Linked DNA regions of Caenorhabditis elegans. The protein of the gene in region 2 purifies or fractionates together with the protein of the main gene of each other region. This does not show direct contact. Each region holds a gene or a part of one and is shown on either strand. Other genes may lie near its edges.

Region 1 (9,791 bases), on a different chromosome or scaffold from region 2:
GTTTTCAAATATGTTATGAAACTTTATGGTTTTACAAATTTCAATTTAATTCTTAATTTGTTAGATTTTAGTATCAAAAATATTTTAGGTCTAGATCTAGGCACAAAAAACCCATTTCCCGAATTTCTGAATATTTTTATTAGGGATGAAAAGCACGAAATTCTCTTTAACAACATATATTTTCATTTTCAAGAATGTAAACCAAAAGGAGCACACAAAAAGAGCATTGCCTTCTTGTCTTTCTCTCTAAATACCTGCGTCTCTTCAATTAGCACACTCTTCAATGCTACCACTACGAAGCTTCCATTTTGTTTACTCAAACCTCAACCGGGTCAGGTCATCTTACCTTTGCTTCGGCTTCTTCCACTTTTCTTTATACGGACCTTTTTTCTGTAAAATCTAGGAAAATTATTCTTGACAGAAAAATAGTTTTTTAAAAATTGTGACTCACTAGTCAGCTTTTATGATTTTGTGAATTGATTTTGTTTTCGTTTCAAATTCAATCAGTGATTATGGTATTTCGAAAAGTTTGATAAATTTTGTTACAAAACTTTTACAAAAACTTTACCATAAGGAAAGTTAATAGTAAAACATTTCTAGAAATTGCCACCATTTTTTTTTGGAATTTTAATAAATTCGACATCTCGAATGTTAAAAATGTTTCAGATGTAGTGGATATTTTGGTTTGAAACATTCAAATTTTTGGAATGTTTTGAAATTTTCAGAAATTAAAAAAAAAGAAAACTCTCCATCTTTTCTCTAATCAAAAATAAAAAAGGTTCTATGAATTTTTTTTGGTAATTTATGGGCAGTTGTCGGTTCTCTCTGTTTCACCCGTCACACTTCTTCCAATTTTCATATGCAGATTTTAGACGGGGGGCTTTTGCAATTTCTTTTTACGCAATTCCATTCCTTCTTTCCTTTTTCTCAGCTTTTTACTCAGTTTGTGTTCCATCTTTTTTTTGGAATTTTTCGGTCGCAGTTCAAATCAAAATCTAAACTCAATTTGGAATAGTCCTCATATTTTGAATTTTCATTCAAATTTTTTCGGAAAAATTCTCAAAAATTCTTTTGGTGACTTTGTCTGTCATATCCACTTGAATACCGCAATGGATACTGACATTTCAAGGTTGTATGAATGTCCTCTATATGTGTTGGATATAGATTCATATGTATGCATGTTTTGGTTTTTCATTGTTTCTTATTTCTGTATGCGTCACCTTTTTTTCATCTTTTGTATAATGTTGGAGATTATGCAAGCGATATATTATATAACAATTGTATACTGTGACGGAATTATAATGGATTTGAAAGCTAGCTTGACTATCAAGACTGTGAAGGTTGCGTAGAATTATTTTTTCAACGTTTCAAGAAATTTATGATAGAAACTACTGGCAATCTCTAATTTCCTGTCATTTCCAGCAATTTTCAAATCTACCTATATTTTGAAAATTTAACAAATTTCACCTTGTTTTCTATTATCCAGATAGTACTTTTTTGAAGAAAATCTTTCAAACCGGTGAGGTTTAAAATAGAAATTTTGAAATAAAATATCGAAATTTTCCATTCTGAATCGTGGTAACTTTCTGTACTCTCAAATAGTTTTAAGACGTTTTTCTCCAACAAATACTTGTTCTTCGAACGATATTCGAGCTTAAGACACAACGCTCCATATATATCTAGACTCCCCACTCCCATAAATTGAGAACCGCAGTACTGCTTTATAGTCTCGGAATTTCTGTTTTGTCTGGCGAATCGGAGGTTTTGTCTGGATGAGTTAATTGAAACATTCATCGTGCTCTTCTTCTCCGCTTCTTCTCTTCTTTTGCTCTTCCCGTCCGTCACTTGTATACTAAAAAGAGCAGAAAACGCAAGAGAGGCACACGTTTTGCTTCCATTCTTCGCACCCAATTGAATGCCTTCGCGTTGTGCTCTGAATCTTTTTTGCAAAAGAGGAGAAAGAGTGTTCACATATCTGATGAATTGAGAGTGAGCAGCGGGCTCCATTTTCACTTTTTTGCCGTTTCTAGCACCATATCTCTCCAGGGGATCGCGTATCAAAAATTCTCAGAGCGGTCTTTTGATGAAAAGCATCTAATTTGAAGTGGCCGGAAACTTATTCATTGGTTAGCTGGGAAAGTTTTCCTTTTTTTCGGAATTGTTCAGAATTAGAAAAAAAAATCTGAAACTCAATAGCGAAATTTCTGATTAGTTCATACATCATTTCACCTAGGATTAAGCATACTTTCTACAAACCGAAAACCACGAATTTATTTACAACTAGCCTCTTCTTCTGTATTTGTAATTTTTATTTCAAATTTATCAGTAAAAATTTTGGAAGTATTCCAAATTTTTAATAAACTAATTCTTTTTTCCAGATTTGCAGCACTGCAATTTTCAATTACAGATAATTTAAACATGAGTAAAATGAAAATTTATAGACAAAATCTTTTTTCTGTTGAGTTCCAAAAACTTTTTGACTATAGAAATTGCAAAATTATTTTTTAGAATTTTTTACTGTGGTGTTTGTTCATTGTGCATTAAAATAATTCTACACAGTTTCCAGTAATGCAAGTGCAGTTTCCAAAAAAATTCATGAAAAATTTACTGATCTGAACAATCAATTGATAATATACTAAAAATGTACATGTGTTGGCATTTTGTCTCATAGTCTATTCCTCTCTTTCAATATAATTCTCTATCATGCCCATCAATTTAATGTGTTCCCCTCGCCGTGTCGTCTGTGATCGTTACATTTTTTCCATATCATATCAAGGTCTTTCATCCTTCTAGTTCCCAATTTCACGATTGACCAACAGTTACGGGGTCAACAAGGCGGACTTTCTTTACCAAAAAGTTCTAAAAGTGCATCTTATGAATTTTTGAGAAGATGGCTCTGCACTTTCTGACAGATGCACACCACCTGCGTCTCCAATTTCATTTCGACCTTCTTGATTTCAATTCTATCAATTCAGTTGATATGAGTCACACCGTGTGATTCATCATTATATAAACCCCCGCAAAAACAATTAATATAAGTTTTTTCCCGTTGATCTGAAAATGAAAACACCTCTGGTGTGTAATATTTTTCAGATTCTTCTTTTCGGCTTTTGCTCCATTTGCTTTCATGTTTTACGATTTTTTGGAAAATTTTTCTCTAAAAAAATCTGGATTTTGAACTTTCCCTCTTTCAGCTGTCTTCTTGATTTTGTCCATTTCAAAATTCAACTTTCTAATTCCCAAATTTTCAGTCATTATTCCTCGAACGTACATGAGCAACAACTAACAGAACGAGAGAAAGCTCACCCGCCGAAACATGCGTGAATGTATAATTAGCTGGACACTACTCCTATGTCTCAGCTGTGTCAAATCGTTTAATCTCGATGTGAATGCTCCGATCTACAGGTATGGTCCCAGTGGGACCAACTTTGGATATTCCGTTGCTGAACATTTCAAAGGGGATAAGCCTGTGTAAGTAGATTTTTTTTTTAATTTCATCACAAAAAACAGTAAAGCTTGAGCAAAAGTTACTCAGCTTATGTTAAGGCTTAAATTTAGGTTTAGCCTTATGATTAGGCCTAGTCTCAGGCTTCCTGCTAAAGTTTTGCCCAAGCGTGATAGTTTTAGTTTTTGATGAAAACAGCGATTAACGCGTTCTTTCAAATTTCAGAATGCTGATCGGAGCTCCACGTGGCGAGTCTGGGCAAACGGGTACCGAACGAGCGGGTGCAATGTACGCGTGTGATATTAACACATTTTATAATGGTGGATCAAATCACTGGTGAGTACACATTTGAAAGAATGAGAGATATGAGGGAACGACTGATGATTGATGAGAATGAATTCAGGTGTGAACAGGTGCGATTTGAGTATGAAAACGTTGAGGATTATGCGAAACGACCCAACGAAACACGTGGCAGAACGGTGCATCCATTGGGAAAGAATGATCAGTTGTTGGCCTCAACGATTGTTTCGAAAGGAACAAAGAATGGTAGTGCTTTGGTGAGTAAAAAACTTTAATTTTCTGTGTTTAAAACCTTGGGATTTTGGCCTCTGGTGCTCCTTGCGTACTCACAGTACTCTTTATGCTTTCTGAATCAAGTATTTATAGGTGTGTGCTCCATTAATACGTTACCATCAAACTGCTGCATATCCACAAGGAGCTTGCTATGAACTTGAATCGAACCTTCGTCTTCAATCAACATACGCAACTTGTGCTCAAAAGAATCTTCCAACAACAGATCGTCACAACGAGTATGGAGGATGTATGGAAGGATTTTCAGCAGCAATTACTCAGGTAATTTTCATTCAACAAATAGAATGAAATCACTGAAGTTTAGTTTTGTGTTAATTTTAAAAAGATATTTTGATGAATATTTTTGAGTCGAAAGCATTTTTTAAATATTGCTAAAATTTTAGGATACCATCGTGACCGGACTCATTGGAGCTGTAAAATGGACTGGTGGTGTTTTTGCAAAGAAATCGTCAGCAAACATTTTCGATTCAGTCGTTGAAAAATACACAATGAATCAACCAAATGGAGATATGATTCGTACACGATTAGTTGCACATGATTATCTTGGATATTCTGTAGATATTGGAAGATTCGGTTTTTGGTATGAAGATGGAAAACCGATAACCGTAGTCTCAGGAGCTACAAGATACGGAGAACATGGAGCTGTAATATTCCTCCCGTTTATTCAAGATTCAAGTTCAAAACTTACTCTGAATGAAGACAAATTTATTATTAATGGAACTGCAATGGGATCTGCATTTGGGTATTCGATTGAAGTTGTTGACTTGAATGGAGATGGATTTGATGATCTAATTGTTGGAGCACCATTTGAACATCGATCTGGAATTGATGGAAACTTTGGAGGAATCGTCTATGTTTACTTTTCTCAAGGAGTTCAGAGAAAACAACATGAATCTCATCTAGTCTTCCACCCACCAAAGATTCTAAAGAATCCAGATTTCTACTCACAATTTGGACTTTCAATTACTAAATTGGGAAATGTAGACGGAGATAAAAGTAAACTCAACGACTTTGCAGTTGGTGCTCCATTTGCATTTGATGGAGCTGGAGCAGTTTATATTTATCTTGGAACTAAAAACATTGAAAAGTTCCGAAAGAAACCGGCTCAAGTGATAAAAGGAAATGATCTTCCAAATCTTCCGCCAGGTGGAATGAGATCATTTGGATTCTCACTTTCTGGAGGTTCTGATATGGATGAGAATGGATATCCCGATCTTCTCATTGGATCTCCTTCGAAGAATTTTGTTGCATTGCTTCGTTCTAGACCAGTAATAAGTATTGAGACCAAGCACAAAATGGAGAAGAGAATGGTTGATATCGACAAAGGTGTCAATTGTCCACGTGGAGCAAAGACTTGTTTCCCGCTTGATATGGTGATCTATGTGGATGAGGAAACAAAGAGAGGCGCCGAACTTGTCGATTTCTCATCTGATGTATTTATGTGTAATCTGGAAGCTATTCCATTTAGAGCTGACACAACGGCAAGAGGATTCATTGAAGGAAGTCATTCACACAATTATAGTTGGCCATGTGGAAGTAATAGTCACGTACAGAAACGAACTTACCGGCAGCTAATCTATTTGCCAGTTCAAGAATCAAAAGATTGGATTACACCTTTGAAGTTTAGATTTACTGTCAGCATTCGGTAGGTCAAGTTGTCTCGAAATCCCTTGAAAAAGTTGTTTCCTAAATTGTATTGTTAGACTCAAAACTCAAAAACCATGATATCATAATCAGAACTCAAATTCTCACATTTCAGAAACGAAAAGAAGCCTGTGCAACCACCACAAGGAAGCCAATTGGTCGACTTGAAGCACTACCCAGTCCTCAACAAATATGGTGCATCATATGAGTTTGATGTTCCATTCAATACGCTTTGCGGAGAAGATCACACTTGTCAGACTGATTTGTCATTGAAAGCCGCCTTCAAGGATATTCCACTGTAAGACTTTAAGATATTTTAGCGCTCAGAACTTGTGAGACAGCACTGTATTTACACCGAAAGTTTTTTAGAATATAGTAATCAAACTTCTTTTTTAAAATTCCAAATCAAAAGTCAACCCCACGTATGTTTTTTGCTTTCAGAACATCAAATGGATACGTTTCAAATGTCGGCGAAAAGGATTATCTGGACTTGACATTCACTGTGGAAAACAAGAAAGAAAAGGCTTATCAAGCGAATTTTTATCTAGAATATAATGAAGAAGAGCTTGAACTTCCACAAGTTCAAGGTTCCAAGAGAATGATTGCTGAAACAATTGGAAAGAATATTGTGCATTTGCCACTTGGAAATCCAATGAATGGAGCATCAAAACATCAATTTACGATCCAATTCAAATTGACTCGTGGAAGAACTGAAGGAATTGGAAAGGCACTCAAATTCATGGCACATGTCAATTCCACGTCACAAGAAACCGAGGAAGAGTTGAAAGATAATAAATGGGAAGCTGAAGTTCAGATTATCAAGAAGGCAGAGCTGGAGATCTATGGAATCAGTGACCCTGATAGAGTATTCTTTGGAGGAAAAGCAAGAGCAGAGTCTGAATTGGAATTGGAAGAAGATATTGGAACAATGGTTAGACATAACTATACAATTATTAATCATGGTCCATGGACTGTTCGAAATGTGGAAGCACACATTTCTTGGCCTTATCAACTCCGTTCTAGGTTTGGAAGAGGAAAGAATGCTCTCTATCTATTGGATGTACCGACTATTACAACAGAATTCACAGATGGAACAAGTGAAGTTAGAAAGTGTTTCATCAAACAACAGTACGAATATGTGAATCCTGCAGAAATTAAATTGAACACTAAATATAGTACTCAAGAGACTGCTCCACATCGGGTAGAGCATAGAATGAAAAGAGAAATTGATGAGGATGAGGAAGAACAATCAGATGATCTAGGAGCCGTGGAAGAGAATATTCCTTGGTTCTCAACAGCTAATTTCTGGAATCTTTTTGCAATTAAAGGAGGTGATGGACGACCTAGAGAAGTTAAACATTTGGTAAGTCCCTAGATTACAGTTTATTTGATTGATTTTTGATAAATGAATATTTCAGAGCTGCCAAGACAACACTGCCAATTGTTTCACCGTCATTTGCCACTTCGATTTCATCGATGCCAATTCTGCAGTAGTCATTGATTTACGTGCAAGACTCTGGAATGCAACGTTCATTGAGGATTATTCAGATGTTGAAAGTGTGAAGATCCGATCGTTCGGAAAACTTCAATTAGACGAATCACAAGGAATTGATGACGATCCGAATAACAATGCAGCTTTCGTTGAAACATCTGCTGATCCTGATAGGCCTACAATTGGTGGGTTTTTTGAAATGAGACCAACTTTAATATCTAATCATTTTAAAGTGATATACTAGTACGAATGTATTCATAAAAAATCATTGTTGAGGATATTCTAGCTTTAAAAGACATGCTCAAACCCCCAACTTTACCTTAATTTTTTCAGGAGACTCTCGACCTATCCCGTGGTGGATATACGTCATTGCAGCTGTTATTGGTGTTCTCATTTTGTCACTAATTATAATTTGTCTTTCAAAATGTGGTTTCTTCAAACGAAATCGTTTGGATCAGCCATCATTATACACTGCTCAACTCAAACATGAACGAGAAGAATGGGCTGATACGGGACTTTAGATGCCTCTTTATTTCTTTTTTCGACTGGATCTCTGTGATGTTTTATTCACTTTGTTTGTTTCCATTTATGTGATACCATTTTCCTGTTTTGTTCCCTCAATGATTTTCCTCCCAACTTCACTTTAAACATTTAAGTTTTTTTTAAATATTTAAATGTATGACATTTTTCAAATCTTGTAGTCAAGTTTATTGAAACCATCTTGACAAATATTTCACCGGTGCCATTTTCATGTTTTTTGTCAAACAAAAAGTGCTATAATTATTAATAAATTATTTTCAATTCCCTCATTCAAATTATAGAAATTGTGTATATAAATGAAATTTTTTAAAAAATCAGTTATCGTCATTTGTGGACTGTCGTTTGAGAAGCATCCAGGAGCTTCGTTTTCGTGGAGCTGCAGCTGTGAATAAAAAGAAATTAATCGACAACTCGAGGATATGACGAAACTCACCAACAAGCATTTTTGCTTGGTTTTTGTGTGTGATTTGAATGATGCAAGGAGGTTGCATCCATGGTTCCCCGTCAATTTGCATGGGAAATGATTTGTGTGTTCTGGAAATGAACAAAATTTTTGTTAAAGTAACGGCATTACAGAAAACCATTTGAAAGTATCAGAATTACTCAAAAATTGATTTTTTTTTTCAAATTCAACGATGTCCTAGTTATATTCCCACATTAATTCCATTTAAAAACTAACTGAATCACAACAGTTGAACATTGAGAAAGCCGTCTTGCTCCACGTACACCCGCTTTAATCTGTCCCATTTGCATTGCTGACTCCAATCCAACTAACTGAAACTTTTGGTTTGTTTTTGGAAGGATTTCATCTTAAACCTCAATGAGACCATCTCCAATATCTTGAACTCTTGTCTGTAATTGCATTTTCTCGGCATTTTTCATTGGGAACAGCCCAGGCATTCTTCCTTTAGATTTTCGACTCCTTCCCCATAAATTAGATCCTCCGTAAATTGATGGAATATTCAAAAGAGCAATTCCTTCAAGTGATGCATCTTGTCCAAGATCGATTGATTCTCCATCGCACTGAAAATTGGAAGTATTTTACTATAATATTTTTAAGAACTTACCAAAATATCAATTTGCTCGTGTAAGTTCTTGCAAGAACTTGATAGGGTCTCACTTGTACCTAACTCAAAGTACCACAACTTGTTTCGCATCCGGCTATTGAACTTTTCAGGAAACTTTTCTCTCATCACATGGAATCGGTGAGCAATTGAGGCGTCCTGAAATTTTTTTTGTATTTTTTTATGTTCAAATTTAGGTTTTTGGTAAGATTATTTAGTTTTTCAATAAAATATTTAAAATAACTCACCACTCCAATAGAAAAATAATTATTAATGATACTGTATGGTGGTGTATCTCCTTTTTCACTTGCTCTTCTTGCACTTTTATTCTCTGTTATTTCTATTTTAATCTGCCATCGATCCATATCAATTAGACTTGATTTTTCAATTTGTTCCAATATTTTATGCAAATTCTCATTTTCATATCCACCACCCCATCGAAGACATCTTGCCAAATCATTTCCAGTTCCCAATGGTAAAACTGCGACGGGTGGTCTTCCATGTGGAAATGTCATTTTATCCATTGATTCCAATACCCATCCAATTGTTCCATCACCTCCACATACCAAAATGTTACAGTTTTTCAAAGTGGAAAATAATTGAAGTCCTGGTTCAGGGCCAGTTTTACTCAAATCATAGACCTGTCTTGGATTGAGAAGATATTCAAATTTCTGTAGAATCTTGACTCCTTGTTTCCCACCACTTTTCGGATTGACAAGAACTAGGAGAGGACGACAATCATTGCTAGGAGATACGGCCTGAAGGAGACTGGCACTGTGGGAGCTGAAGTTGTGATTTTTCAGCGATGTTGAAGTTTTACGTTCCAGAAATGCAGGAAATATATGCGTTGGTGGGAGAATATGGTGGACTAAAGCACCGAGATCACACTCTTGAGCAAGTGCAGACATACATCTATGATGAACCTGGAAAAATATATAGGTACCCGGGGGTAAAGCAAACATGAACACGAGATTTTATGTAAACTTTTGAATACTCAATTCTCAGCAAAACTGTA
Region 2 (6,004 bases):
GCAACCGCAACGCAACCGCAACGCAACCGCAACGCAACCGCAACGCAACCGCAACGCAACCGCAACGCAACCGCAACGCAACCGCAACGCAACCGCAACGCAATCGCAACGCAATCGCAACGCAACCGCAACGCAACCGCAACGCAACCGCAACGCAACCGCAACGCAACCGCAACGCAACCGCAACGCAACCGCAACGCAATCGCAACGCAACCGCAACGCAACCGCAACGCAACCGCAACGCAACCGCAACGCAACCGCAACGCAACCGCAACGCAACCGCAACGCAACCGCAACTCAACCGCAACGCAACCGCAACGCAACCGCAACGCAACCGCAACGCAACCGCAACGCAATCGCAACGCAACCGCAACGCAATCGCAACGCAACCGCAACGCAATCGCAACGCAACTAAATGCAAACTTACGTGTTGAGGAAGATGTCCCTCAGTGATAAACTGGTTGGGAAGAAAAACTTTGACGGAGTTACCACAAACTACTCCAAAAATACTGAACGATGGCTCACAATAGTTGACAAAGTACGCGTACAGAATTGGTGACACAATCTGAAATATTTTAGTGTTTCAGAATGAAAATATAGAAAAAAATTACCGTTTCAGAGATTGATCCTTCCAAGGAAAAGTATCCGTTTTTATCAGTCTCTCCATAAGCAACCAAGGTATCCGGCAACGCTGAAAGTTATAGATTTAAGTAGCAGAGGCGCGTCCATGTTCCGTACTCCTACTTTGTAACTATAACAAATGAAAGAACTAGTAGAAATTTTGCGGTTACATATCTAAAGTTTGAAGTTTTTAGAAACCGTGCGTGCCTGTACTCCCACATTGTTATTTTCGTACCATAATTTTTTCCCAAAGTTGCACTTTCTGGCCTGCATATGGTTTTCCATGGCACAAAAGTTGTCCACGAACGTGGGCGGCTCCCGTGTCAGCGGTGGCGAGCTTGATGAGAAGAATCATGAAGCAAATTATCTGAAAACCTTGAAATTTTGAGGAAAAGATCTGAAAAATCCCATATCGCGTTCATACTGCTTTTTCGAGGATTCGAAAAAATTTTGGATAAAATTCGAAATGATTCTTTTTTCAATTTTGAATTTGAATTTGGTTTGTTTTCTTTTAAAAAAAACTCCACGTGAGCCCCTATTTTTTTCAAAAATTTTCAAATCAATACTAAATATTTGAATTCAAATTTCAGTACAGAAACTAGGGTTCAAAATAACGCCGGCAGCGACGGCGCATTTCAAAAAACGTGAGCCGGCATCGGCAAATAAGGCTTGTGCCGCCGCTGCGCCGCCGCCGGCGACATCAGGGTTAAACAGTTGAGCAGGCGGCGGCGCATCTCGAAATAAAATGCGCCGCCGGACGCGCAATAAAAATCCGCTACCGCTGGCAGCGGTGTGTAAAGCTTGCGCCGCTGCCGACGCCGGCGGCGTGTAAAACTTGCGCCGTCGCCGGCGAGCAGCGTTAATAACGTGAATGCAATATAAGATCCGTCGTCAAATTACAAGCTATAATAGAAACGCGTCAGTCCGCCTGTTTTTTGTGAACTAGCGCAATCCGAGCATCCATCATTGTCCACATTCTGATTTTCAGCATTTTCGCTTCCAGGCTCTCGACATGAAGTTGACATCAAAGAAATTGGCCACGAGTTATATGAAAACACAGTGGGGGTGGCACGGACTTTGTAGTTGGCTCAGTTTATAAGTCCGTCCACAAACTGGCACTATTGAAAATTAAATATCATAATACTTCACATACATAACAGATTCATTATTTCAGACTTTTCTAGTTCCATACAATTACCCAGAAGGACGACATTCTTTGTGATTGAAAAACAAGTTAACGACTTGTTCAAGGCCGAGTTTGACAGTGTAAGCCGTTGAAACTTCAGTTTCGTGGAGGTCGAAGGTCTGAAATTCCAGATTAAGATGTTTTGTTTTTTTCGCGTGTGACGCGCGTCATTTTTGTTTCAGCATTTTTTGACTCGCGCGTTTAGGAATATGTCCATCAGCAATATACTCGGCTGGGATATAAACTTTGACGGAGTTACCACACTTTACTCGGAGCCAGTTGAACGATGGCTTACAATAGTTCACAAAATACGCGTACAGAAGTGGTGACATCATCTAGAATATCTCGTTGGTTCAGATTCAAAAAATAGAAACATTACAGTTTCAGTGATAGATCCTTGCAAGTCAAAGTATCCGTCATTATCAGTGACTGCATGAATAAGCATAGTGTCGGCCAACGCTGAAATTCAAAAATTAAAGTAACTCCCAAAGCGTCCATGTTTTGTACTCCCATTTTGTAACTCTTCAAAAAAAAATGCGCCTGTGTCGCGATTAGCATTTCGAAGTATAACTTGTAAAACCGTGACGCAGCAGCTGTGCGTCTATGCTGCGTTTTCCCATTTTGTATCAGACATGAGAATGAATAAAGAGCGTCGAATTTCAAGAACCGCTAAACACCCGCGGCGCGTCTATCTACCGTACTCCCACATTGTAACTACACTCAGAAAACAAAATCGGGTTAAACGAGTTTAGGTTTTGTTGCAAATTGGTTGGAAATCGTGACGCAACTGTAGCGCGTCTCCTCTTTGTACTCCCACTCTGTAACTCTCTCACCAAAGTTTTTCTCCCAAATTTGAATTTTCTCGCGAGCATACGGTCTTCCATTGCACAAAAGTCGTCCACGGATATGTACGGATCCCGTGGAAGCCGCAGCGTAATTGATGAGAAGAACCACGAGAAAAATTGTCTGAAAACCCTGAAGTTCGGAGAAAAATTTCTGAAAAGTCACATACCGCGTTCATTTTCTTTGCAAAGATTCGAAATTTTTGTGGACAAAATTCGAAAGGATTTTTTTTTTGAAATTTGAGTTTTGAATTTCAATTTCAATGCAAAAAAAATTAAAATCCACGTGAGCCAATTATTTCATAAGTTTTCAAATCAAATCATCTTTGCTTTTCTATTTTTCATATGCCATGCTCCTGTCAGATTATAATAGCACCAAAAAAGGCATACTCCGGCGGATACGTATTATGAAATGTAAATGTTCACTACCTCATCCAATTTCTTTGTCAATCACCTGCAGGGTATATTTTTCTCATATTCTCCTTTTCACTCGCAATGTCACATTCTCTTTGAAGGGAGATACATCTAGCCGCCAACACAGCGCCACCCATTCCACAAAGAGGCCCATGTTTACAACCTAATGACACATATAGTACTGGTATAGATTGTCCTTCCTTGTGGGAACCCTTTTTGAATAGATTTACAACTCCCTACAAAAAGACACAAATCAGGCAGGAGGCCTGCGGTGAGCGAGAATTACGAAAATGATAACATATCAAATCCAGAATCTACCAGCTTTTTTTAGCCGCGTTCGGGGTTCCGCGCCGCACTATGTATTTGGTACATGCGACGTGTGTGACGCCGTGAGGCCGGCGCGGCGGCCGCATGGGAACCCTAATCTCAACTATAATTTTTTTCTCGATCTCGGTGAAATTGAAGTGCAACAGCGAAACCCGAGGAAGCCGGTTTCAAAAAGCTTCTCTATAGTTACTTCACTGTCAGTAAGCCATAGATGTTTACTGCAAATTTAGTCTTAAATGTTAACTTATCCCATAAATAATATGAAAATATTTATTATACATTTTCTTTAACACAACATTTATTAGTAACAACAAAATCTTGTCCGGTTCCTATGGAATTGCAACTCTACTCATTTTTGCGGGATGATTCTCGATGAGTCCCAAACTTTCGGCAATATTTTCCAAAATGTTCGAATTCTGTCGCTGCTGGTCTGCAAGACTTTTTGATGGCTTTACACGTACTCGGCGGAGCTTCTAAAAAAGTGAATGTACATTCGGGATTACATGTAGTGCCTTAAATAAAATTACCTTCTCAGTCTTCCCCGGCTTCAGCTTTCTTCTCAGCTTCTTCGGAGATCTTCGGATTTCTCTGAGATTTACCACCTTTTTCTCTGATTCTCGAGCAATTTCCTTTTCAGCCCGGAAGCCTCGTTCCCCTTCATCCATACTCATAGCGAACTTCTCGTTTGTGGTCTGGAAATTTTATTTTAAGTTTTGAAAGAATGGGAAGTCATTACTATGGGATCTTACCGAAAAAACTCTGAATGCCGGATGTCTATACGGAACCCTTTTCACTTTCACCACTCTCCGTCTCTTCGTGGATCCAGATCCACGTGTCTTCTTGACTATTTCAGTGTTGCCGTTTAAAGGAGCAGACTTCTTTTTGCTCTCCCCACTACCACGTGAATGACTTTTAGCTCCGTGAGCCTGTGCTTTAGGCACCGACTGCGACGGTAATTGAGCTCTTGGAGGAGCAAACAAAGCTGGACGAGAATGCCCTGTCCCAGAATCTAAAGGCTCGGGATCCGAAACTGATGTGTCAGAGTTCTCAGATGTGACAGCCTGAGCGATCGCAAATGTGGCTGGAAATTGAGCTTTCGGAGGAACCATAGGTTCATCGATAGTCTCTGAATCCTCAGATTCCGCTGCAAACGTAGATTCGTCAGATTTTTCGGCGGCGGGGCTTTCAAAATTGGAAGCAGGAAGCAACTCTTCCGTTTCTGAAATCGAAACATCACTCGGCGCTACTGCAAACTTTTGAATAGTGCTGTCCTCTTGAGCAAATGTCACCGCTCCTTTTTGATACTTATTCCGAAGTTCATTGAGTGTCGGAAGCCCTGAAGCCAGACCAGAAGCTTTTTGCTGTGTTCGACGAATTTCAGAAGCTTTCAGATCAATCTGGTGTCCCATAGCTTGTGATTGGGCCTCCACTGCCAGGTAAGCCAAGTTCTCCGCGCTTACAATGGATTCTTTCATCAGAGATTCGCAAGTGCATTCTTTCGAATCGACGCCCTTCTGTCCTTGAACTCCAAATTCTCCACGTTTTCCACGAATTCCTGCAGCTCCTGGAGCTCCAGGACTTCCAGGTAACCCAGGTGGGCCAATAGGCCCTGGTGTGTTATTGTTGGTTCCATCCTCTCCAGGTTGTCCTTCTGTTCCATGCTTTCCAGATGGTCCCTTGGGACCTTTAGTATTCAAAAGTACAACACCATCTTGCCCAACATTTCCAGCAACACCACGCGATCCCATGGATCCTTGTTTTCCAGGACTTCCGTAGCCTCCAGGAGCTCCCGGCTGTCCGTTTTTTCCCATTGGACCAAGAATACCAGGAGCCCCACCAAGACCTGGCTTTCCAGTTCCTCCAGGCTGGCCGGGCGTTCCATCTGGCCCTGCTGGGCATGTAACACAGAATGTGGGAAAGTTCGGGGTGATCTCGTCCATTGCGTCGAACCCTGGCAATCCATCGTTCCCGTCAGTTCCTGATTGTCCAGGGGTACCACGAAGACCAGGTGGGCCTGGAGGGCCCATCGGGCAGCGATTCTCGTCGAGTGGGCAGATTGGAAGAGGTCCGAGACGCTCACCCGAGTTCATAAGTGTTGGGTGCTGCTGCGGGGTTGGGCTAGGAGAAGCTGTAGTAGTTGTAGTCGATGTAGGTATAGTTCCAAGAATCACTTGGGCACCGCCTGAAGTATCCGACATAGCTTCTGCATCCTCATACTCTGATTCTTCATCATCATAATCATCAGTAGGCGCGGGAACCTCTCGGGCAAGCTTCCGAAGTTCCGGACTGAACAGTGAAGGTCCTGAAGGTGGTGCCCCACCCGATTGTCCAGCTATTCCTGAGAGTCTAGTTCCGTGCGTTTTTGCTGCAGCAGCATGAGCTGGGTGATCAGCAGGACCAACTGTATCCCCATCCATGTGAATCATGCTGCAACTCAAAGAAGTTTTTAGCTATTACCCATCATAATACTCACTTCTTAGCTGCTTCTCTTCGCTTTCTAACCTCTCCAGGTTCTCCCCTGAACCCTGCCAAAACCTCATAGGAGCTCTCAAAACTTCTCATTGCTTCTCGAATCTCTACATCAAACTCGTGTCGGATAGCGTCAATTTCAGAG

The links. Proteins that work in one complex are often made in the same cells at the same time.
Region 1: the proteins of ttr-11 (region 2) and ina-1 purify together in Caenorhabditis elegans (affinity purification with western blotting; one study listed by BioGRID). This does not show direct contact.

The regions. Positions count from the first base shown.
Region 1 is NC_003281.10:9,166,263-9,176,053, reverse strand, and holds ina-1 (Integrin alpha ina-1), read left to right. Parts: upstream 1-3,251; 5' UTR 3,252-3,316; coding exon 3,317-3,471; intron 3,472-3,670; coding exon 3,671-3,781; intron 3,782-3,848; coding exon 3,849-4,002; intron 4,003-4,111; coding exon 4,112-4,297; intron 4,298-4,419; coding exon 4,420-5,681; intron 5,682-5,795; coding exon 5,796-5,978; intron 5,979-6,121; coding exon 6,122-7,043; intron 7,044-7,098; coding exon 7,099-7,357; intron 7,358-7,505; coding exon 7,506-7,693; 3' UTR 7,694-7,981; downstream 7,982-9,791. Other genes in the region: dgk-3 (putative diacylglycerol kinase 3), read right to left, coding at 8,027-8,094, 8,146-8,246, 8,392-8,486, 8,529-8,735, 8,780-8,935, 9,025-9,699. UniProt on the Caenorhabditis elegans protein: Plays a role in cell migration, axon fasciculation, and morphogenesis. During gonad morphogenesis, involved in distal tip cell (DTC)-mediated guidance of gonad elongation, in maintaining their sharp tapering morphology and in their migration.
Region 2 is NC_003283.11:20,600,190-20,606,193, reverse strand, and holds ttr-11 (Transthyretin-like family protein), read right to left. Parts: upstream 2,881-6,004; 5' UTR 2,829-2,880; coding exon 2,820-2,828; intron 2,774-2,819; coding exon 2,641-2,773; intron 2,267-2,640; coding exon 2,187-2,266; intron 2,143-2,186; coding exon of another isoform or gene 2,067-2,142; intron 1,927-2,066; coding exon 1,816-1,926; 3' UTR 1,766-1,815; downstream 1-1,765. Other genes in the region: ttr-57 (TransThyretin-Related family domain), read right to left, coding at 496-565, 612-691, 857-976; col-163 (Col_cuticle_N domain-containing protein), read right to left, coding at 3,720-3,863, 3,918-4,082, 4,140-5,817, 5,864-6,004.